4 linked regions of the Oryzias latipes genome follow. The main gene of each other region encodes a partner of the protein of the gene in region 2 in a complex. Links are inferred from orthologs where the notes say so. Each region holds a gene or a part of one and is shown on either strand. Other genes may lie near its edges. The genes, in order: ppp1r8, c9h9orf78, ttf2 and akap17a.

The links.
Region 1: c9h9orf78 (region 2) and ppp1r8 share a complex: the UniProt entries of both Homo sapiens proteins name them as parts of the spliceosome. The link is inferred for Oryzias latipes from reciprocal best matches to the Homo sapiens genes C9orf78 and PPP1R8.
Region 3: c9h9orf78 (region 2) and ttf2 share a complex: the UniProt entries of both Homo sapiens proteins name them as parts of the spliceosome. The link is inferred for Oryzias latipes from reciprocal best matches to the Homo sapiens genes C9orf78 and TTF2.
Region 4: c9h9orf78 (region 2) and akap17a share a complex: the UniProt entries of both Homo sapiens proteins name them as parts of the spliceosome. The link is inferred for Oryzias latipes from reciprocal best matches to the Homo sapiens genes C9orf78 and AKAP17A.

Annotation. Positions count from the first base shown.
Region 1 is NC_019874.2:22,801,983-22,807,582, forward strand, and holds the start of ppp1r8 (nuclear inhibitor of protein phosphatase 1), read right to left. Parts: upstream 3,466-5,600; 5' UTR 3,419-3,465; coding exon 3,366-3,418; intron 2,921-3,365; coding exon 2,860-2,920; intron 2,748-2,859; exon of another isoform or gene 2,609-2,747; coding exon of another isoform or gene 2,591-2,608; exon of another isoform or gene 2,583-2,590; intron 2,522-2,582; coding exon 2,368-2,521; intron 1,918-2,367; coding exon 1,700-1,917; intron 1,379-1,699; coding exon 1,234-1,378; intron 811-1,233; coding exon 746-810; intron 387-745; coding exon 33-386; 3' UTR 1-32. Other genes in the region: protein THEMIS2, read left to right, coding at 5,131-5,323, 5,590-5,600. UniProt on the Homo sapiens protein: Inhibitor subunit of the major nuclear protein phosphatase-1 (PP-1). It has RNA-binding activity but does not cleave RNA and may target PP-1 to RNA-associated substrates. May also be involved in pre-mRNA splicing.
Region 2 is NC_019867.2:17,114,842-17,120,330, reverse strand, and holds c9h9orf78 (telomere length and silencing protein 1 homolog), read right to left. Parts: upstream 2,801-5,489; 5' UTR 2,705-2,800; coding exon 2,625-2,704; intron 2,459-2,624; coding exon 2,399-2,458; intron 2,310-2,398; coding exon 2,258-2,309; intron 2,164-2,257; coding exon 2,093-2,163; intron 1,984-2,092; coding exon 1,906-1,983; intron 1,634-1,905; coding exon 1,436-1,633; intron 1,347-1,435; coding exon 1,210-1,346; intron 1,131-1,209; coding exon 1,023-1,130; intron 768-1,022; coding exon 667-767; 3' UTR 96-666; downstream 1-95. Other genes in the region: NFU1 iron-sulfur cluster scaffold homolog, mitochondrial, read left to right, coding at 2,863-2,921, 3,935-4,029, 4,323-4,458, 4,915-4,981, 5,056-5,173, 5,246-5,309, 5,394-5,489. UniProt on the Homo sapiens protein: Plays a role in pre-mRNA splicing by promoting usage of the upstream 3'-splice site at alternative NAGNAG splice sites; these are sites featuring alternative acceptor motifs separated by only a few nucleotides. May also modulate exon inclusion events.
Region 3 is NC_019879.2:11,144,072-11,149,587, reverse strand, and holds the start of ttf2 (transcription termination factor 2), read right to left. Parts: upstream 3,398-5,516; 5' UTR 3,314-3,397; coding exon 3,286-3,313; intron 3,078-3,285; coding exon 2,972-3,077; intron 2,773-2,971; coding exon 2,686-2,772; intron 1,999-2,685; coding exon 1,929-1,998; intron 1,614-1,928; coding exon 837-1,613; intron 728-836; coding exon 607-727; intron 1-606. Other genes in the region: cenpj (centromere protein J), read left to right, coding at 4,335-4,706. UniProt on the Homo sapiens protein: DsDNA-dependent ATPase which acts as a transcription termination factor by coupling ATP hydrolysis with removal of RNA polymerase II from the DNA template. May contribute to mitotic transcription repression. May also be involved in pre-mRNA splicing.
Region 4 is NC_019879.2:18,185,628-18,191,294, reverse strand, and holds the start of akap17a (A-kinase anchor protein 17A), read right to left. Parts: upstream 3,839-5,667; 5' UTR 3,554-3,838; intron 2,972-3,553; 5' UTR 2,891-2,971; coding exon 2,558-2,890; intron 1,744-2,557; coding exon 1,525-1,743; intron 479-1,524; coding exon 266-478; intron 1-265. UniProt on the Homo sapiens protein: Splice factor regulating alternative splice site selection for certain mRNA precursors. Mediates regulation of pre-mRNA splicing in a PKA-dependent manner.

The sequences.
Region 1 (5,600 bases), on a different chromosome or scaffold from region 2:
CTGAGAGGCAGAAAGAAGCTTTCCAGAACTCATCAGATAAGTAGCGAAAGGGTGGGTTTTTTGCCTGGCCAAGCCTCTTTGGCGTACTTCTTTTTGCGTGGCTCGTTGAGGGTCTCTGGTAGATACGGGGCTGTGACGGGCGTGGGATTGAGAGAAATTGGGGGGTGAGGAGCCTCTGGGGCCAGGTCCACCTCCGGCGCTGGGTTTGGGAAGGGCAAAGGAAGTCCTCCTTGCATGGCAGCACCCCCGGGCGCTCCTGTAGGCTGGTTTTCATGACTGGTGGGAGGCAAGTCCCCATACAGACCACCACCTAAGCTGTAGCCATGCATGCGCTTTGCTGTCAGCTCGTCCAGTCCCAGAGTGTTTTGGCCCTCCGCTCTGCGTTTCTACAACAAAAAAGTCAACTATTAGTCTGATGGGTTAAGCTGGAAGCTGTACAACTTTGTTTCTTTTACAGATTTACAGAAGGCATAAAGTCTGTTCAGAATTTAAATTATAACACTATATGTTCACATCGATTAAATAACTATTCTTGCTCTTTTTACCTTCAAAAACATCTTCTTGCTAATCTTATTTTTTTTCTTTAATGCAAGTTATTCATGTTATAAACTGACCAATCAGACGCCTCAATATAAGATTATGGTCTCATGTTGAACGTTAATTAATTTCATTTTGTTGGAAGTAAACCATTCTTGCTCGGTCCAGTTCTCATACAAATAATCACCAAAATCCTTCGACAGTTTACCTTGATGGGGATGACAGCTGTTTGCACCATGTTCCTGAAGCGACCGACCGAGGGGTCAATATCCTCTGAAAAGGAGAAAAAGCCTTTTAGAGATGTTTTCACACATCTACATTCATGAGAATCCTAATAACTGGAGAATAACATGGAATAGACACACTTTGACACAACTGCAAAAGTAATATCAATGTATTTTACAAATATTTTTCAGCCTTTTCATAAACTAAAATTTGGGTGTATATCTTTAGAAAGCAACATTGACAGAATTATTTGACTGTGCTTTAATAAAAAGGGAAATTAACTACACACCCCCCCCAAAAAAAACAAAAAACTATTTACCAGTACATAAACTTATATATATATATATAAAGAACTAGTCCACAGGAAATCTACCAAAAAAATATTCATCCTGTCTCAAGAGGTGAAAACAGCTATGATTAAAAACAAGAAGTTCATAAATGAAGTTTTTTATTTTTTACACTGGTAAGTACCTGGGTTAATGATGGAGTCCTCTTCACTGAAGGTGACTCTGGAGTTTCTGCGTTTCCTTTTAGGTCTTTGGATTTCCAGGTTGCCTTCTTCAATGGTCAATAGCGAGATGCGCTTGTTGTGAGCTGTGTTGAACTCTGTCAGATTCTGACAGGATTCAGAAACCACAAACATTTGTAAGGCGGCTACAACATTTCAACCAACCGGTAGACGGGATTAAAGGATTCATAAGTGGGAAAAAACATAGTAGTATTCTGAAACTAAACCTTGCCACTACTTACTTTTACTTTTACTTTGACCATGCACACATGGTCAAAGTAAAATATGCAGGTCTATTTGTATAAAAGCAAACAAGCAAATCTTAAACTTTAGTAGTTTGACAAATTTAGCCAGAGTTCAAGAATCAACAGGCAAAAAGACTGGAATAAACAGAGATGAAAACAAGATTGATCAGAAAACATAACGTACATCTAACTCTGTTTCTTCTTCTGGAAGACCTAGAAGTCCTTTGAGCTCCTCGTCATCTCCCGTCTTATTGTCTCCTGTGCTAGTGCTGCCTTGGGTTTGGGGTTTCTCTCTGATGATATACGTTCGCGTGGAAGCCCCAAAAGCTAAAGTGGAGTCTATAGGAACCTGCTGAGGCTTGTGGGCCTCGAGGCGGATGTGTCCAAGGAAAGTACCATGTGCTGAAAGGGTAACAATCAAATAAGGTTTCCCAAAAGAATAAAATAAAGAGGTAACGCAACACTGTCATAACAATGAAACAATACTACAACAAAACAAGATGCAATTTTTACCACCACCGTACACTCCAACTCTTTTAGCAATTGGGAAAGATATTTGCTTTAAAGTCAGAAAGTTGATCAAATCTAAATTTTTCAGTGATACGATCCGTGATTTCATCACAACACATGAAATACAAACAAACAAAATGTGTATGGATGTTGAAGCTGTGGTGATCCTTTTAACTCTATTCATATGATTTAATATTCGTAAATGTATCAAACGTGATGGCAGAATGTATTCAATTCCTAAATGATTAAAATGCTTCAGTATTGCATTCTGCTTTGTGTACCGTTTCTTTCTTCCAACAATATAAATCAAATACAAAGGTAGGACTAAAAGCGATCCCTTACTGCTGTTGAGGTCTATAAGGAAGAGTCTTTTTAGGTGTTTGTGGTAGACTAAGGCAGCATGAACACGGGAACATGACTGATGGTCGATGGTGAAGTCACACCAGTCGGGGTTCCTCCCAAAAAGGTAAAACTTCTTCTCATCAATAATCAATTTCTATAGAAAAGAGAGAATGTTTTTTCTGTCAGTCACACATAAAGTATGGCTTCAACAGTACAGGTGTACCTCTGAGTCATAACTCATCAGTGTCGCTTCCACTGATCAGCTTAAACCTCACGGCTGATTTTGCTGTAGCACCGTTGGAAGCCATGCAGCCACAGACCTGTCCTGATGTTCAAACATCAGGGACAGAGCAGACTGTCAGGCTCGTGTATGGGTGCATGTATGGACTTACACGATACATGATTTAACAACAGTAAGGCACAAAAGCAGAATAAGCAGTCATATTACTGCATAACAGGACCAACATCTGCACATTTTCATTCAATTATTACCTCTATCAGTTTGTCTCCCTTCATTACGTCAAGATGAAGCCCCGTGGGGGGTTTGCCTGCCCTGTAAACAGACGATCAACTACTGTCAATATTTAGGGAAAACAAACAAACATGGATCATGCACAAATTAATGTTACAATAAATGAATTCAAATGTCTTTTACATGTTTCTCTCCGCGCTAGCTATTTCAAGAATAAATATTTTAAAGATAAATATTTTCCACATTTATAATAATAATTATTTTTAATTGATCTGGACGTGAATTCTACTCATACAAAGAACACGGCTTTCCCCGTTCGAATAAATAATTTCTAGCCCTTCTGGTTAATTGACGCCAACAACGCTAAGGGTTACCATGCTAACCTAGCTAATGTTAGCAACTGCAACTACAGACTTCTACTTAGCATTAAAAGGCACAAATGAACAGGTCAAATAGCTTTGCAAATGCACATCCAGCAACGCGTTACAAATTTCTAGTTTGTTCTGCAATAAGTAAGTTTTCTCACCATGATGGACAATCAAAAGGCGGAGGACCGTCTTTGCCTGTTTTAGTCGCCATCTTGCTTTAGCATATTGCAACCAAAATGCATGCTGGGTAAACAAAACATTGGGATGTCGGGAGTTGTCGTTCAGAGATAATAATGATAGTAAGAGTAATAATATTAATAATAATTTTACCATATTGCAATATTCGTCAGATTTGTACAGGATACAGGGAATTATTCTTTTTTAGTAAAACTTTTGAAATAGTTTTTTTTTTTTTTTGGCAAATGATCTTCACTTAAAACTTAATTGCACTGTAAGATTTATTAACAAAAAAAGTTCAATTTTGATTTACTTGTGTTAAATCCATTCATAGAAAATGTAATATTTTAATTAAAAATATACAGATTAATTTTAATAATAATGTCATTAATTTTAATTTCACAACAGTCCTGTAATGGGACTCAGAAAAAGTTATAAAAAATATTTGATGACAAAAATGACTTTTTTTGTTAGCTTTTCTCTTTTCTCTTCATGGTTTACACAGCAGAACCCTCGACCACATGCCTCCCCATCTATCCCATAGGAAAGATGTTCTTCTTACTACAGTACTGACCAAAAGTTTGGACACACCTTCTCATTCAAATGAATGGGAAGGTTTGTCCAAACGTTTGGTCTGTACTGTATGTTTAATGTTTCTTTTCAAGATGATGAGTGGTTTGGGAGTAACTTTTAAATACTTAACTAATGAAAAACATTATCATATTATATTTTGAAAAACAAACAAACAAAAACAGTTATAATTCAAGTAATTTTTTATTTGATTTGCATGTTTCTTTGTAAAGCTGCCTAATAAACATGAAGAATTCAATTACAAAAGACCACTAGAGGTCTCTAAACTCTTAATTTGAAAATGGAAACATTTTCTTGGAAATAAATGATTGGTCAACATGTGTGGGATTCTGTGTTGGGGGGCTTGAAGTTGTGTCTGTATCTATTTCTGCTTGTGAGTGGGTGAACTCCTTCTGGTTTTTGCTTTTTTGGTCAGGCCTGAGGTGGGTGGAAGGGGGGGGGGGGTTACCTCAAATTAACTGACTCTCTTGGATCCATTTAGAGTTCTATGTTTTAAATAAAAAAATATGTTCAGCGTTGACCTCTGTTAGTCAGCTGGAGATGGTAAAAGTTTTGTTTACAGATGGCATAAAGTGTAAAGCTGAAGCAGAAGTGAACTTTCAGAAAGGATGATAGACATTTTCAGAAAAGCGCTGTGAGCTGGATCCATAAAGAGGGGGTGCAGACACAACTTTTAACTGCATTTGATTCAGACATGTAAGGCTTCAACCAAAAATGAAATGTTTTCCGTCTATAATTTGCAAAAGGGGTAAAGATCACATGTTTAGTTAATGTGTCACACATCCAAATCCAGTTTTCCTTACCCAAGTACATTTGCATACAGTAAAATAAAATAAAACGAGTTCTAAGGTTTAGGCATTGCAGTAGAGTTAGTCCTTCTAGAACATTTTTAATTCAGAAAGAATGCATTTTATGTTTTGTTCCATTGATAGAGGAGAAATTGTTCTTCTCAGATTCTGTCTCTCACACATTCATGTGCATATATGACATCTGTAAAAACTCTTATTCACTTTGTGGTGTATTTTATTAAGCTGCAACAACTGTAACATTGTCTGTGAGCCAAGACCTGAGTCATATCTCACTGCCTTTACCACAGTGTGCACAACTTGTGCAAATAACTCCCTTAACTTCCTTGTTCACTCTTGTGGTTTTTAGATGCGAGAGCATCTCCTTTTTTTTTTGTTTTCTTGCTGTGCTTGTCATTTACCTCCTGCTTTCATTTCTGAGAGCAGCACAGAAACAGCAATGGCAGGTGCCATCGCTTTGCCGCTTCAAGAATACTTTGCATCCTTGGACAAGGCCAGTTTGCCAAAGATTCTGCAAGTGTGCTCTGGAGTGTATTTTCAAGGTAAGCCTTGTGGGGTTTTGGTTCTTTGAAAAGTAAAGACTTCAGTATAAATTTTAAAGAAGTTTAAGGGAACACAGAAACTGCGGGCACTAAAACACGTTCTACTGCGTCTGGATTTCAACATTCTCAGCCTGTTTTAGCGTATGTGCCTCCCTCCTTCCTTCCACTGGTCTCATTCATGAAGCATTTTATGTGATGATCATATTTGCATTAAGTAAAAATGTTAAACTTTTATAAGGATCATGTTTCTTTCTTTCTCTGTTCAGGTTCTGTGTAT
Region 2 (5,489 bases):
TTGGACATGGACAGAACTCTTGTTCTGTGACAGCAGCATTTTTTTGTTTTCATTAAACCTTTGGTTGTGGTGTTACATTGATCTTATTTGAAACTGGATTTGAAAGTCCCATTTATTGTCCATACACATCTTTCAATGGTAACTTAATAAACTTCACAGAAAAGAAAAGAAAAAGATTTAAAAAATATGAATCTTTGAACATTGAATACAGTTTGACCTAAATATTTACACCTAACAAGCAATGTTTTTGTTATGTTTTAGCCAAAATAAAAGAACACATCGTTAATGGTTTTATCTTTTCTAACAGTTCAAGGAACAGGAAGTTATGTACATCGAAAATAAATTGAGCAGAAAAAGCTTTAAAAATTAATTTGAGAAACTGATCAGCAAGTAAAGTATGTTAAAGTTTCTTAATACTAATGATGCTGTTGGTATTCAAATTGTTGCAGGACTGAAGGAAGATTTGGTTTCAGTGTGAAGATTTTAAATGCTCATTAGCATTGAGGTTTTGTTTTTATCTACGAAATACAGGGGAAGATGTTTCTACAAACAATTGACCAAATACTAAATCGGAAGAAACAGCAAAGAAATGTGAATTATCTAAACTAATAACCATGTCACGACTGACAATAACTCTGCTGGACTCGGTAAAAAGCTGGATCTTTTTTAATATCTTCGATTCATCTTCTTGAACTTCTCATAGTGGTAGTCATCTGTGGCCTTCTCGTTGTTCGGCCGTTTGCGGAAGTTGGGTGGAGATGGAGCTGCTGAAGACAGTGTCATTTCAAATTTTAATTAATTAATATAGCTTTTAGTTTACATTTCTCAAAGATTTAAGAGAATATCTACAGGCTAAATATAAAACAATAAAAAGGAGGTGAGATTATTTGTAAAGTTAAATTAAAATAAATGTAATGATTTTCTTAAAAACCTTGTTTTATTTTATTACCTTAGAAAGACTAAATAAGAAACCAAAACAAAAAAACGGTCTTCTCTTAGCACTTGAAAGTGAAGTGTCATACCTTCTAGACCTGGTTTCTCTGTGTCACCCACACGCAGTGGTCTTGGTTTGGGTTCTGGTTCTTTGTGTCTGTGATGCCTCTGTGCTGCGTTTGAATCTTCATGATAGACTGAAACAAAAAGGACAATTTTCAAGTTACTCTCAGAGTCAGTTTTTTTTTTTTTCCTAGTTAAACTTCCAGAACTTACAGCGGTTATGTTGGACGTAATTCACCGCAATGTTAGTGGGCACGAATGAGGTGCCATTGTCTTTTTTCTTGTTTCTTTGTTCCGCGATAAGCTTTGCTTTTGCCTCCTCCGTCTGGATAATATTCTTTATCTTTGCACTAGAAAAGCAATCACAAACAGGTTAAGCACACACTAAACCTCCTGAAGAGTTAAAGCAGGGATCATTTTTGCAGCTTCCTGAACATACTCAATGCCAAGGTCAACTTCCGGGATCCCACTCAGCATCTGATTGGACAACATCTCCTCCGTCTTCTTGGCAGAATTGACTCGGATGTTCTCAGGAAGTTCGTAGAGGTGGTCCTCTGGATTTTTTACTTTGATTTTCTGTTCCTCTGCCTCCACCAGTCCTTTTTTCTTCTTCAACTCTGTCTCAATATACTTCATCCTGTAAGAAGAAATTCAAGACTTATTTCTGCAATGACAAATCTTTATGCACAAAAAAAGGGAGAGTTTTGAGGCATTCGTATATGGGGCCATTTATCCAACAAGCAATGCACCAAACTCTAATAGCTGATGATAAAACATCATGGAATCACAGTCTAAGGAGCTCTGATTCCAAAATACCTCATATGGATTTGGTTTTTTTCTAAGTGTTTGTTTTAAAAGGTGTGGATAAGGCCATTAAAGTTTTATAGTATTTGTACAGCGAGTCCTTACATGTCTGCATCTTCATCTCTTCTGTTAGTTTCAGCTGAGAAGGATGTACCCAGATTCAGCTCCGTCTCATCTTCTGTCCTGAAAACAACCAAAAACAATGCATTATGTACAGAATGGCAAGCTGTGTAAGACATTCATAAAATGAATAAGAATATAAAAAAATAAAATAAAAAAACATTTTACTTACATGTCTCTATTTCTATCCTTCACCTTTTTCATGTCTATCACGCCTCCTGTCTTGAGCTTAAACGGGTCATTCTGTTGAAAACAGTGATTGTTTGTTACACAAGTCTTGTTGCTGTTGTGACTCAGACATGCAGTGCAGTGTTAGGAACATCCGGACCATACGTACATCAATTTCAGCCTCTGGTGGAAGTTTCTCTCCAACGAGTAATGCAGTCACACTAAAGAATAACAACACGTTTTTTTTTTTAACTCACGTACATCTGGTAAAAATATTTTGAGTTCGAGAAACAACAGTGATAATGATTACCTGACACCGGTTTGACGTTTCCTTAAACTCTGGATTTCTTTAGCCTCCTCTAGCTTTGATCTTTGCAAACAAGATAGAAGCACAGATTCGAAGTGGTAAACTTTTGTTCCAATAAAAATCTTAAAATTTAGATGTAGTTTAAAAAAAATCATGAACAGACACAACGACGTTAGCCGGAGGCTGGCTACCTCAGTAGCTGGCGCAAGTTTGCGTCTAACTAACTCACCTGACTTCTTCGGTTGTCTCATCTTCCTCTTCGTCATCTGATGAGTCCCTTCTCCTCCTAAAATTTTTACCGGAAGGCATTTTTGTATTGTATCGGTTTCCTTATAACGCAGAGCTTTACAAAAACCGACTTTCGCGTTAGCAGTCTCGGGGAACACTTTAACAGATGAACAAAATACTTACGTCATTTCCGCTTGCGCAATCCACATTTCCGTCTTGTTTAGCTAACCATAACAATCATGGCGGCGTACGCACAGTTTGGAAGGTTGCTGGGCGTTTCAGCGAGACTTTTAAGGCCGTAAGTGCTTTGCATTTGGGTTTCTGTTTTTATTAATCTTTCTCGTAATTCATGTATGAATGTGTGTATGAACACAGAGGACATGAAAGCGGTTACATTTAATGACATGGCTCACTTACATACATGGCATGCGTCGCATGACACAAATGAACTGTTCACACTCACTGAGGATTTCCAAAACATTCTTACAAATAACAGAACGTATCTATAAAAAATATAGCCGGTTTTTTAGATGCCGTGTCTGGAGAAACATTTAAATGCACGTGCAAACTTCACTTTTATAGACATTTAGACCACATAATGGACACTTTAAACTTTTGTGACCTTAAGTAAGCTGGATTGTTATTGAAATTTGTTTTCTATTCAGTCATCTAGCTTTTTATCGTTATCATTCCTCAGTCGTGCAATACATTTCACTGCACACATACAATAGATGTATATGTGTGTGACAAATAAAATGTCTATTAAAAAAAAACAATGATTTTTATTTTATGTGGAGGCTGTTGCTTCTGTGATTCTACAATTTTAACACTTCAAAAATATGTAAAGGCAAAAAACAAGAAGAGATTTAGAATTAATATGAATTATTTACTTTATATTTGAACACTTAGATTGTTCATTAATCTCCTAACTATGCTTTTTTTGTATACAGTGATCCCTTGCTATAACGCGGTGTACTTTTCACGGTTTCGCTACTTCACGGATTTGCATCGTGCATTGTGTTCTGCATTCTGATTGGCTAAAAAGTCACTCCGCTTCTTCTCTACCTGTGCGTCAATAACGTTGCAGTTTAATATGTACACGTACTTAAATCAGCTTGCCAAATTTACATTACGTACGTGCAAATTCTTTTGCAATTTCGAGTTTCTCTAAACCCCATAGAAAAAAGAGCGACAACAACTGTCAATCACTATGTTCTTCCCAAACACTAAACATACCTGAAATGTTTACATTTATAACAGTTGTTGTTTGTCATTAAAGTTTTTCTGTTTTGTTTTTTTTATGAATTTTAGGCTCGTTGGCAGCGGCTGTCCAAGCACTGGATTTCCATCACAGGCAACAAGAGTCTCAAACAGAATGCCACTAAACCCCATTTGGGTTATTCCTGGTTTGTTGTCTTATTCCATCATCCAGTATTTGCATTAGTTTTTAAACACTGGTACTATGATATAGAGGTGATTGCAGCATGTTCTAAGAAAGTGTTCAAACTGTGAGCATGTCCAATCTGGATGTGTACATTTGGGGTTTAGTCACAACAAATACCAAACTACATGTAGGTAAAGTTTATTTTGTCGTGAGAAAATCCTGTGTGTGAACTTGAAGTAAAAAACCAGACATATCTCTTCCACCTTCTTACTACTGTTGTCACTTTGTGGTTCTTCTTGTTTTGTCTATATTCAGGACGAACAATGTTTGTGCAGACGCAGGACACTCCTAATCCAAACAGTCTGAAGTTTCTGCCTGGCCGGACGGTTCTTGAAGAAGGGACTATGGATTTTGGAGGCCCTCGTGACGCATACTGCTCCCCCTTAGCCAGGTATAGGACTCATTAAACACGGATGTACACATTTTTGTCAAGTTGAATTTTACTGGAGGCTTTTGGAACAAGTTATAGAAAACTAACTAATTGCTATTTCTAACAACACTGCAATGCAATCCCTCTAATAAATGAGCTAACATTACTTTTTTAAATGTTTGTTTTTGCAAGGGAATATACTTTTCATTTAAAAAATTAATTTCCCTTGACTTCTGTTTTCACCTCAGATTATTTTGCAGGTATGCATACTGCTTTTTAAAACATTTGTGCTAAAAAATATTGAGAATTATTTTGTTTGGGATAATATATTTGATATATTATTTTACTTACTTACATTTACTTATTACTTATTTCTTTATTCTGTTTCTTCATGATACCAACAAAGTCTTGTCAAATGGCCCAAACATTAAATGCATTCAATTGCAACACTAAATTCGTGTTATTTTGTGTTTGTAGGCAGCTTTTTAGGATTGATGGAGTTAAAAGTGTTTTTCTTGGCCCAGATTTCATTACGATCACAAAGGTAAAACCATCACATGAATATATGTCAAGTTGTCAGCATTATCCTGAATGAGCGACATACACTTTCTCCTCTAGTCTGATGCAAACATGGAATGGAAAGTAATAAAACCAGATGTATTTGCTGCTATCATGGATTTCTTTACTTCTGGACTCCCTGTTGTCAATGAGGACAGCAAGCCCAGCGCAGACACAGGTACGTATTATTCTGCACTGAAGAGTAAATAGACTTTTTAAAAATCCAGAGACATTCGATTTCTCTTCACAGCACCGTCAGATGAGGATGATGAAGTGGTTGCTATGATCAAAGAGCTCCTGGACACTAGAATAAGGTAAGACCTCTTGAAATGAAACTCTGGAATCCCTTTATTTCTTAAAGCTGTTGTTTTCTATTACGCTGTTTTCTCGCTCTGCAGGCCAACGGTGCAGGAGGACGGCGGCGATGTTGTGTACAGAGGGTTTGAGGATGGAGTCGTTAAACTGAAGTTGCAAGGCTCGTGTACCAGTTGCCC
Region 3 (5,516 bases), on a different chromosome or scaffold from region 2:
ATTTAGCGAATCAAAGTTTGGAACTTTGAAGACCCGCTGATGAAAATTGTGTTTTGGGTGTTTTTAACATGTTCTTGCAGCATTTTTCTGATGATGGAGGACAAAGAAAATTCAACTTTAAGTTGCATTTCTGAGTATTTCTTTATTCAAATGGTTGAGAATCAGAAGCAACTGAATACGGGTAATGCCATTTGAAAAAGCTTGTAGTCAGGCAGAAGCTACAATCGGCCGGCCACAAGCTCTTGATTTCCTTGTCCGTGCTGGTATCTGGTTCAAAACTTTACAGCTTGATAGTCCCAATATTACTTCTTATTGCATTTCTGTTGCACTGGTAATGGTGAATTTCTAATGCTGCTCGGCAGAAAATATGTCCTAGAAAACAACTGTTTCTTTTTTTTTGGCTACAAACAGCATAATAATGATTAAAAAAAACTACTTGGAACGCTTTTACATTAGATCAGAATATCATTAGAGTGGGACTTGAAACTGTCTTTGTATTATAGTCATTCCTCATTTACCTTCAATAAGCATCAACAAGCTAATATGTAAATCAAAATGACAGAACCCGTGTGTTTCTGAACCTTAAGAGTGTGGCAGACACCTCACCTGTATGAGAAGCTGCAGACAAACTCAGTGACTCCAGCTCGTCCTCCAATTCTTTGATCTGGATTTGCAGTTTCTCTCCTTTATCTGGCAAAGCAGCCACATTTATAGCAGAGAGAGTGGCCTTCAGGGACAAAAAAAGGAAATGACATCTTAAGAGAAGGTCTATTTTCCTGTTATGACAGAAAAACATTTGTTTTTTTTTATTCTTACTAGAAAAACTTCCTGTGTACCTTTTTCTGTTTGAGCTGAACAGACAGCAGGTTAAGCCTCTCTTTAGGGCCTCCCTGCTTTGCCACACACTGGAACCCTGGAAAGTTGGTTATGGTCTTTTGGATCGCAGATGTCGGGGTGGTTTTCTGAGAGGCGGGTTTCTCTGACACAAACACTACATCGTCATTGGTTTCATCTCTGTTGGATCTGCTCTCTTCAGAATCCTCATCTAATATAGCAACACAGCCAGGGCTCCTAGAAGCATGTGAGCTGTTGCTGGGTTTGGATTCAGTGATGCTCCTTTGGACCGGGGGGTCAGTTTGATTCCCTGGCAGGGCTTTGTCACTAGTTTGCAAACTTTTGTGAACATCAGAGGAAACTTGATTCATTTTTTCAGGCTGAACTTCTGTGCTTGATGTAGACGTCTTATTTTGCGCTCCTTCAAGCTTCTTCTCAGTTTTTTCTGTGATCACAGCTGTTGTCTTTTCTATGCTGTCAGTTTTGCTGCTGTCCTCCCCCGATGTCCTCTTCTTTATCTTCATCCCCTGTGGAAGTGTTTTACCTTGATAGGTGTTTATTTTTTCTGCAATTTCCTTCCGAAAACCTTCTCCACCTTCAGCCATGTGACTTGTCTTCATGTTTTTCTTCTCGCTCTCCTTGTGTCCAGCAACCTCCATCTTCTTCCAATCAGAGTCTTTGTACATCTTTCCAGGAGCCTTAAAAGGGTTTCTGATAGGAGGGATGCAGGAAGGCTGAAGCTGTGTGCTTAACAGAGGGATTCTGTTTTCTTTTTCTTGCTGCAGTGGAATAGGATAAGAATTAATAAAGAAGTCAAACCACAAATGAAAATAATTATGTAAATTAAAAGAACTGTATTATTTTGATCAAATTTGAGTGGTGACTTATTGCAGGTAATTTTTCTTATGATATAAAAATGCAAGATATTCATAGGAATATCAGATAGGAAAAATGTGCAGTTACAACACAATAAGATGCTGTTTTTATTAGAGAAATTAAAATGTAACAACTAAGAGATGAGAAAGAAGCCTGTCCTGAATTAAAGACGAGATGTCACCGCCTTGGTTTGAGATTAAATGTGTAACAGGTCTTACTGTAGTCCAAGGAACACTACCACACCATCTCTGTCCGGACTTTTTACCCACAATGCATCTGTAGTAAAGCCTTGAAAAAAAAAAAACAAAGAAAAGAAGAGTCATATTTCACATTCCCATCTTAAAGTCCCCCAAACCAATCATCTTTTGCAAAAGCGTTCCCAACTGTCTTTTAATTGTAATTATACTTTTTTTCCACCTAAATTGAACCCTGCGTCGTTTGCCAGGAGGTAGTTTCTGCAGAGCGGCAGTTGTTTATAAGAAATTCACCTCTGAGTTCAGTTGTGGGTGGGACAGTTGGTGCACAGCAACCCGTTACCCATAACCCATACATACTCTCACACTAGCTATTGGTGCGACAGAAATGGCGAACAATATCAGAGCTATCCACCCATACAGTTTTGAGCCGGGTGTCAGCTCAGACGAGGAAAACAAAGACGTACATGAGATAAATTGTCTGCAAGTGGATGCATCAGAATGGAGCGCAGCAGGGAGCTTGCGACCCATCCAGCGGATTTTCTACGTCACAAATAAGCTGTTTTTATAAACACAATTTTTTCTTCTGATCCTGATTTACAATGATTTAAAGAAAGAAAGACCCAGAAAAGCAATTTTAAGCCTGATTTTCTTTTTATGTGTTCTGCATCATCAGAAAAATGCAACATTTAAGTTTTATAGCAACACATATGAAAACATTTTAAAAACACAATTTTCGTCAGAGGAGGTCTGTAAGTGTGAAGGATAAACACACACATACCTGTGGCTTTGGTGTTTCTGGCTGAAGCTGATGGCCTGAAGTTCTACCATTGAATCTTCATGGTTGATGCAGTGGGAGGGAGGGAGACTGGCACACATGACAGCGACAGTTATTACAAGGCATAATCATAAACCTACACAAAACCACGCCATTATCAAACTAAACTATATATTCTGCACTTGTAGATAACTGATCTCTCTGAATATACTATAGAAAGTTCTAAAATAAAAACTAGATTTTAAAACTGAAAGTCACACCCGCGAGGCCGAGGCATTGGGGAAATTACCTGGTCTGTTGACTAAAGTCACAGCCCTGCTCGCTTACGCAGACGTAGAAACTTTTGCCTTTACTCGGTCCGTCCTTAACCCCTGTTTTCAACATACAAATGCCACCTGCAAAAGAAAGCAGATACGGAAAAACTGAGAAATTTGCAAGTCCCACACCACTATCGACGAGCTACACTTTGACTTTAGTTTAAGTTTTAGGTCAAAACGAAAATTCTATGCTAACATGACATTAAATGACAGCAAGCGTTTCCAAACTTAAAATGACGACAGCACATTTTATTTAAACAAGATCAAATAATATGTATTGACGTACCGTGGTCACTGCACAAAACCTTCTCCATTGTCTCAACGTATTTAAGCTTTGGTTTCTAACTGCCCTGCGTGTCATCAAACTCGGGTATTTTTGTTTCGACCAATCAAAACGTCCAGAAGGCACATCCGGTTTTAGGAACACCCCATGAAAGGGTGGGCTTTTTTTATTTCCAAAAGATTGGGTAAAATAAAAATTATTAAAATAAAATAAGGACACATATTAGTCAGTGTCAAAACGATTAATACAAAAAACAGCTGTTCAAATACTAAATATGTAAGACATAATAAATAAATGACTTTGGGTTCTGAAACATGGACTTGACCCGGATGTAATTCGTGTGGCTGTTGGTCTGCTTCTAAAGGTGAGCGTTATGTTTATCTAAATTTGTTTAGTCACTTATATTATTAAATATATTTAGTATAATTTAAAATAATTACAACAATAAATTAAAAAAATTGAGATCTTAAAGTCTAAAAAATTTTAACTATAATACCCACAATTCACCAGTGCTGCAGAACTCTCGCGGGCTTTGTTTTGATATGGCGGCAGCTTTCAAAACTTGTTTCTGGTGTAAATACACAACGTTTTATGTTACAAGAACGAGGCTGCATTTCTTGTGTATTGAAGGTAAATATCTTTGGATTAGATTATAATGCGTACTTTTTTTATTTTGTTAATAATTTTTAAAAGAAACGTTACAGTTTTGGCAAACAGCGGGAGCGGGTAACATGATACGTTTTTTTGTGTAGATAGATCCACCCTGGGCCTGATTACACTAAATGACAGTAACCTTTTTTAAAATATTTAAACAAATGTTGATTACAACAATTTAATGTTAGCAGTTTAATTAGCTGTTGTCACTAACGGTATTATTTGCAGACACACTGTTCGTTAAAGTTTAACGTCTGACACTTTTTTTAAAATTTATTTGGGATTTTTAACGTGAATCCTTTCCGGTGATGTCTCGTCATGATGAAATTAACCTTTAACCGGCCACTGTAATCTGTTTTTCAAATCCCGGATTAGCTTCCTAAACAACCTGGGTCAACATGACATCTCCTGCCGGGCTTGGCTTCCCCGAGCCAGACATCCTGGCTCGCTGGACGCCGAGCAGGACCCGCGCCGGCGTCATCCTCCATCCCTCACCGGATTTGGCCGGATCGCTGCGGTACGTCACTGCCAAGGGGCCCGCGCCGCAGATGCCGGAGGACTCCTTCGCCTCTGACTTCGCCCCTCTGTCCGCCTCCACAGACAGCAGCCTCATTGGCGCTGAAGGCTGTGAGCGGCCTGTTCGCGGGGATGTAACGTATAGGCCGACGAACTGCGAACTGTCTGTACCGACAGCAATCCTACAGGATCAGTTCGACAAACTGGATGCGATGGCAAACGAAGATTTACCCATAATGATGAAACTGGAACAGGTAAGAACTTTTCTAATAAATTATTATATCTTTACTTCTCATCATACCTTTAAGTCCCACTCCGATCATCTTTTAATCTATTTTCAAAGCATTTCCAGTGGTCTTTGAATCACGAAGATGCCGTTTTTAGCCAGGACCAAAAAACCCGTGTCGTTTTTAGGACATAGTTTCTGCAGAGTAGCAATAGTTCATCAGAAATTCACGTCTGAGTTGTGGGCAGGACCGTTGGCATGAAACAACTCCGCCCCCTTTCCCTTCACTGTTACTGAGAGCTTTCTGTTTACAGTCTCTCCCTCTAGCTTCCAGCCCCTCGTACCCCCTGTAGGAACCCCCAACCGTAACATTTGAATAGAAAACAGTCATAAATGCAATTTTAAGCGTAATTTTTTCATATATGTACTCCATCATCAGAAAAATGCCACAAAAGCATGTTAAAAACACCATTTTCATCAGAGGCCAGTGGTATGTCACCTACAGTACAATGCATAAAAAGACAAATCCACTGGAAAAATCTGAATAGTGGGTAAATATTCAGCTCCAATATCCAGCCATTCCATATAAATACCAACACTCTGCCTGCACAATAAATTGCACATTTATCATCACTGTGATATCAGTCTGTGTAGTATGCATATTGGAAAAGACACCTTAAAGTGCCATAAATGGTTACCTTAAATCTATACACACATGCTAAGCCAATCTCATGGCAGCTTGAAGTATTTAATGAACCATATAGAGCACATTATATATTTGACCAATCAGATGGAGCCCTTTAATATTAGATGCCTGCCTCCTATTTAGATGAGGGTT
Region 4 (5,667 bases), on a different chromosome or scaffold from region 2:
CACTAAGTTGTGTTTAAGTACAATAGACATGAAATTAGCTATAAATGTGTACATGAAGTAGCCATTAGGGGGGTTTCTCAACCCTTCTGGGTAAAGAGGACAGCCTCTAACACCAGACTCTCAAAATAGGACAATTCCATTCTATGATGCGCAGTGATTTACAAATATTTAGCAGAAAATAAAAGAGCTGAAGCCAAAGTAGCTCATTTAAAGTGTGCTCATGATTGTAGGGTAAAGAAGTTCTCTACATTTGAAGATAGAGTACCTTGATGTTGCAGGCCACTGCCTTTCCATCCTCTCCTTTCAGCATCAGCTTCATGCCGCGGAGCGTATCCATGGCTTTTGTGAAGAAGCCATACTCCTGATACTGGACAAAAGCTTCAAAGTTTAGGTGGCCTCCAAAGCTGAAGGTACTGAAGTTTTTGTCCATCATCTCCTCCCTATAAGGGTCCAGCATGGGGATGTCAACATTGCGCACCTACAAAAACAAGATTACACAATATTTCTGGTTTATTAGTTGAACCTTAAAATAACTTTGATCGTCTTAAGAATAAAAGAAATAGTGAAGCAACTAGATTCAAACAAATGGAAGGGATAACTCCTTCAAAATGAGTTTCATTTAGTCATCCAGTCAACACATGCAGGCAGGCATAGACATTGCCTGAATAAAAAGAAGCTTCATAAAAACTATAAGAACTTCAATCAGTACTTTCTTGGATGATAATCCTATTTGGTGAATAAATAACCGCCTAATCGGTTAATCACCAAAAATACATTTGATGTAAAAATGAATATTTCATTCTATCTACCACCAAACTTTTATACTGTGGCAAGTAGAGGATCCAGATTAGATCAAGGCATTTTAACCATAATTTCATCTGGATTCTTTAATTGCCACAGTAAAAATGTTTTAGCGAATTTATTGAAGGAAAAAGTAGTTATTTTCATCCAACACTGGTTTAACAAATTCTTTGGAAAAATATATAATCCAACTGAATCAGAACTTGCCTTTTTATTTGTTTGTCATAACAAATTAAAAGTCCAGAATTGACAAAGACAACACAAAATATGTTGCCATTATTTCATCTCTTCTTCTACTTGGTGTTTGGATTTTATTATTGGTTTATTAATAAAGAACTCTGACGCTTAGGGGGTCTTTCTGATCTTTGAACTCAGACACTTTCACCTGGGTTCTCTAATTGGATGTAAAAAAAAAGCAGAAATACAGACTTCTTCCTACACAAAAAAAAAAAATAGATTCAGACAAACTGTTCCAAAGAAGAGCAAAAAATGAAAAACATTAACAGTATGAGGTTCTATAAATGCTCTAACATGTTAATAGAGGGAAAGCTGATCAGCAAACCTTTGCAACTATAAACAATCTGTATTTTTCTATTTAATTTAGCTTTTTGCTGAGAAAACATGATTTGTACTGAACAGCCTGGTTAAACGTATAGAAATGTAAAAATAGTCACATACAGAACTACCAACTGAGAAGAATGTATGTCTTTAATCGACAATTACCTTCCCAAATGTCTGGAAAACAGCAATGAGGACTTCTTCTGAGGGCCGATCTGGGAACTGACTGTCTTTCTGACTGAACCAGCGACAGGGAAGGCCTTCCAGGTGGATGGTGTCCGGCCTCTCTCCAGGCAGGGTCTCATTCATGTCCTTAGCATCACGGAAAAAGGAGTCCCAGTCATGGCGGGTGGGGAATTCCACCTTATTTTCTACTGCCCGAACCTGAGGGACGAAGACAGACCAACGAATGCATCACATACAGTCCATCCATTTTGTGGTAGAGATATAGTTGAAGTATTAGTCTAATGGAACAAATTATAATGTATAAAAGTCTTTAAAGTCCCACTCCAATCATTTTTTGATCTATTGTAAAGTGGCCGGGATAGGCTCCGGCAGCCCCGTGACCCTGAAAGGGAATAAACGATAGAAGATGAATGAAAAAAATGAATCAATGTAATCGTTGCGTATTCTTCTAGGACAGAGTTGCTACAGAGCGGCTGGAGTTCATTAAAAATTTGCCTTCGAGTTGTGGGCGGAACTGTTGGCACAGAGTAAGCCTGTCCCCTTCCCATCATCCATCTGTTTACGTTCTTTCCCGCTAGCTTTCAGTCCCCTCACAACCCCGACATGACATTACTGGTGCACCAAGAATTGCGCCCAATATCGGAGCTATCCAGCTGTACAGTTCTGAGCTAGATGTCAGCTCAGATGAGGAAAACAAAGACGTACATGGATCTATTTGTCTGCAAGTGGATGCATCAGAGTGGAGCGGAGCAAGGGGGGTTTGTGGCTTGCCATCGTAGTTTCTAAATCCCACCTACAAGTAATTTTTTGTCTGCTCCTGATTCACATGATTTCACTAAAGAAATACTCAGAAATACTAATTTAAGCTTGATATTTTTCGTAGATGTCTCCACCATCAGAAAAATGCTACAAATTCATAATTAAAAACACCCAAAACACGGTTTTCATCAGAGTGCGTCTTTAGTTTAAACGCAATAATTAAGCAATTGGTGATTCAAACTGTCAGCCTTACCTTGAGCACATCGGTGAATCCACTAAGTTTAATGGTCTTTCCATCAAGACGGCTTAGCAGGCCTTTGACCACAGTCTTGTTCTCCACCTCGCCCTCAAAGCGGATGAAGTCCATGGTGCTCTTGGAGATTCTGAGGGCGGAGAACTGCTCAGGAGCGACCATCGCCTTCACCCTCTCCATCACTTCCCAGTTGGAGATGCTCTTGCCTGGCAGCTTGAGCTGGGGTAGGGCCACGCTGACGGTCATTTTAGCTATCGGCTTGAGGTACAAATTGTACTCGGCGGACAAGCAGACTGCCTCTGTGGTGTCGTGGACGATGGTGGTCATTGTCATTCAGAGACGAGTGAGGATGCCCCAAGGACCAGAAAAATCAGAGATTTTCCAGCTAAGCTAGTTCACACATCTACGCAGACCCTGTAGCCAAAACAAGAACAAAAATATCACAAAGAAATAAAGAGAATTCCACAAAACTGACAGATTTAGACAGGACTTGTGTATGCCAGTCCCCAATGCTACACATTTCTTTTTTTTAATCACTATTATTGTTGTTATATTCACTTTTTTTGACTAGTGATTTTATTCTATATGACTGTCTGTTATATATGGTTGTGGTGTTTATATGTAGACCTCAAGTCTGTAAATAAACAAATTAATTGATGCTATTCAGCTTAACCTCTAGCTGTTACAATTCTATTCAATGTTTTTTCTTAATACTCGAATCAAATCAGTAGCATATTTATACACGAATAATACTATACAGGGGGAACATATTTAATTTACTAGCAAATAATTACTTACAAGTACTTTAAATAAATGAATACCAAACCAAAACATCAGCTAAGTTACCGCTAACTTGAGCTACCCATCATGCTACGCAACGAACAGAAATACATTTAGGATCGTAAATCAATAATAATGAGGGGAAACGTGATAAACAGCGTCACAAACACACCAAGTCATTCTTTTCGCACAAAGTCATCAGTCATAATCACTTACTCTATGGTTTGCGTGGCGGGGAACCGTGTAGTTAGCTTAGATAGCTCCAGCACCACAGATGCCTTTTTTCTCCAGTGTAGCAGCTGTCTGCTATTACATAAGAGTTGGCTAACGTTAGTTATTTTTAACAACAACTCGCCAAACATTTAAGTCTGGGTGTATAAAGAGTTCCTGAGCCTGAGAGCCAGGCGCTGCAGAGTCAAACTATATATATCATACAACTATTTCATTGAAAAAAGCCGTGGTACGCCGATTCCGCATCCAGTGAACTTTGACCTGACAAGGAAACTACGAGAAACTGCTATTAGTGGCGGTGGGAAGAAACAGCGACACACTGTGGTAAAAGCTATACTATATATTAAAAAAAATAATATCCTCCTGAGACCCGGCCCATTCACTTATGTCCTCTATAATGGTCATTTTGTTTATCTGTATATTTCTAAGGAATTAAGAGATGCCTTTCCGAATCCTACTTTAATCTGTAGAGGACATCCTGGGCTTTCCATTGATGTGTCATGTGATGAGTTTGCATGCTGGGAACTTTAAGTTTTACCTCTACAAAGATGGCTTCCATGCCATTTACCTAATTTTATGGAAAGGTGAAAGGCAAGTCAAAAATTATGTATCTATTCCTTTTTTTACCATGATAATTATATATATTCTTGGTCATAAACATGTTAGGAACAATATTTTTAGATCTGAAAAAAGTTTCATGTTTTCGGTTTTAAAACAGCAGGCATTTAATGAATGTCCACTGTAGAGGACACCGGGACCATTTTAATGTATTTAATTGCTGCACATAATGTTTGGAGAAAAAAGTGAAGCAGAGAGGATTTTATACCAGATAGTTGAGAGAGATTCAGATTTGGAGCTTTGAGATGATAAAAAGGATGAGATTCAGGAAGAAATAACTGTTTTTTTTAAATAACTTGATTTTTTTGTGTTTTTTAAACGTCCATCATAAGAGGTTTACACCTGTACTACCAGGGCGCCCTGCCTATCAAGATGACGCCAAAGTTTGTGAATACCGGAGTTCAATCTCGTACTTTTCCCAGTACATTGATAACATTTTTGAGGATCTGTTTTTGATCTAGTTTTGTTCAAACTACCAGGGAATCACACACCCCCGGCTCTCTAGGAAAGTCAATAGGCCACAGTACTGGAGAAGACAGTCGGTCCGATAGTGGAACCTCAGATCCAGGAACAACAGTTAGGTTTCCGTCCTGGTCGTGGAACAGTATAACAGCTCTACACCCTCTCTAGGGTGCTGGAGGGAATGCGGGAGTTCGCTCATTCAGTCCAGATGTGTTTTGTGGATTTGGAGAAGGCGTTCGACCACGTCCGTCCCCCGTATCCTGTGGAGGGAACTATGGGAGTATGGGGTCCGGGGAGCCTTACTGAGGGCTGTCTGGTCTCTGCATGACCGGAGCAAGAGCTTGGTTCGCATAGCCGGCAGTAAGTCAAACCTGTTCCCGGTGCACGTTGGAGTCCAGCAGGTCTGCCCTTTATCACCGGTTCTGTTGATAGTTTTTATGGACAGAATTTCTAGGGCACAGGCAGGGCCCGGAGGGGGTCTGGTTTGGGGACCATAGGGTTTCATCTCTGCTCTTTGCAGATGATGTTGTCCTGTTGGCTTCATTAAGCCGGGACCTCCAGCATGCATTGGAGTGGTTTGTGGTAGAGTGTGAAATGGCCGGGATGAGGGTCAGCACTGCTAAATCTGAGCCCATGGTTTTCGACCAAAGAAAGGTAGTTTGCCATCTCTTGGTGGGTAGAGTGTCCCTGCCCCAGGTGGAGAAGTTTAAATATCTTGGAGTCTTGTCCATGAGTATGGGAAGACAGGAGCATGAGATTGACAGGTGGATCGGAGCAGCGTCCGTAGTTATGCGGTCGCTGTATCCGTCCGTTGCGGTGAGGAGAGAGCTGAGCCAATAAGCAAAGCTCTCAATTTAGCGGTCGATCTTCCTCTGTAGCAGATGGTCCAACAAGTAACAAAAGAGTGATGCTGAATTTTATTGTTTTAGAACAAAATGTAATGTTTTTTGGGTGAATATCACTCTAAAGATTTAATCTGCTCCTTTTTTCTGATTTTCCAAATTAACTTCTATTTTCAC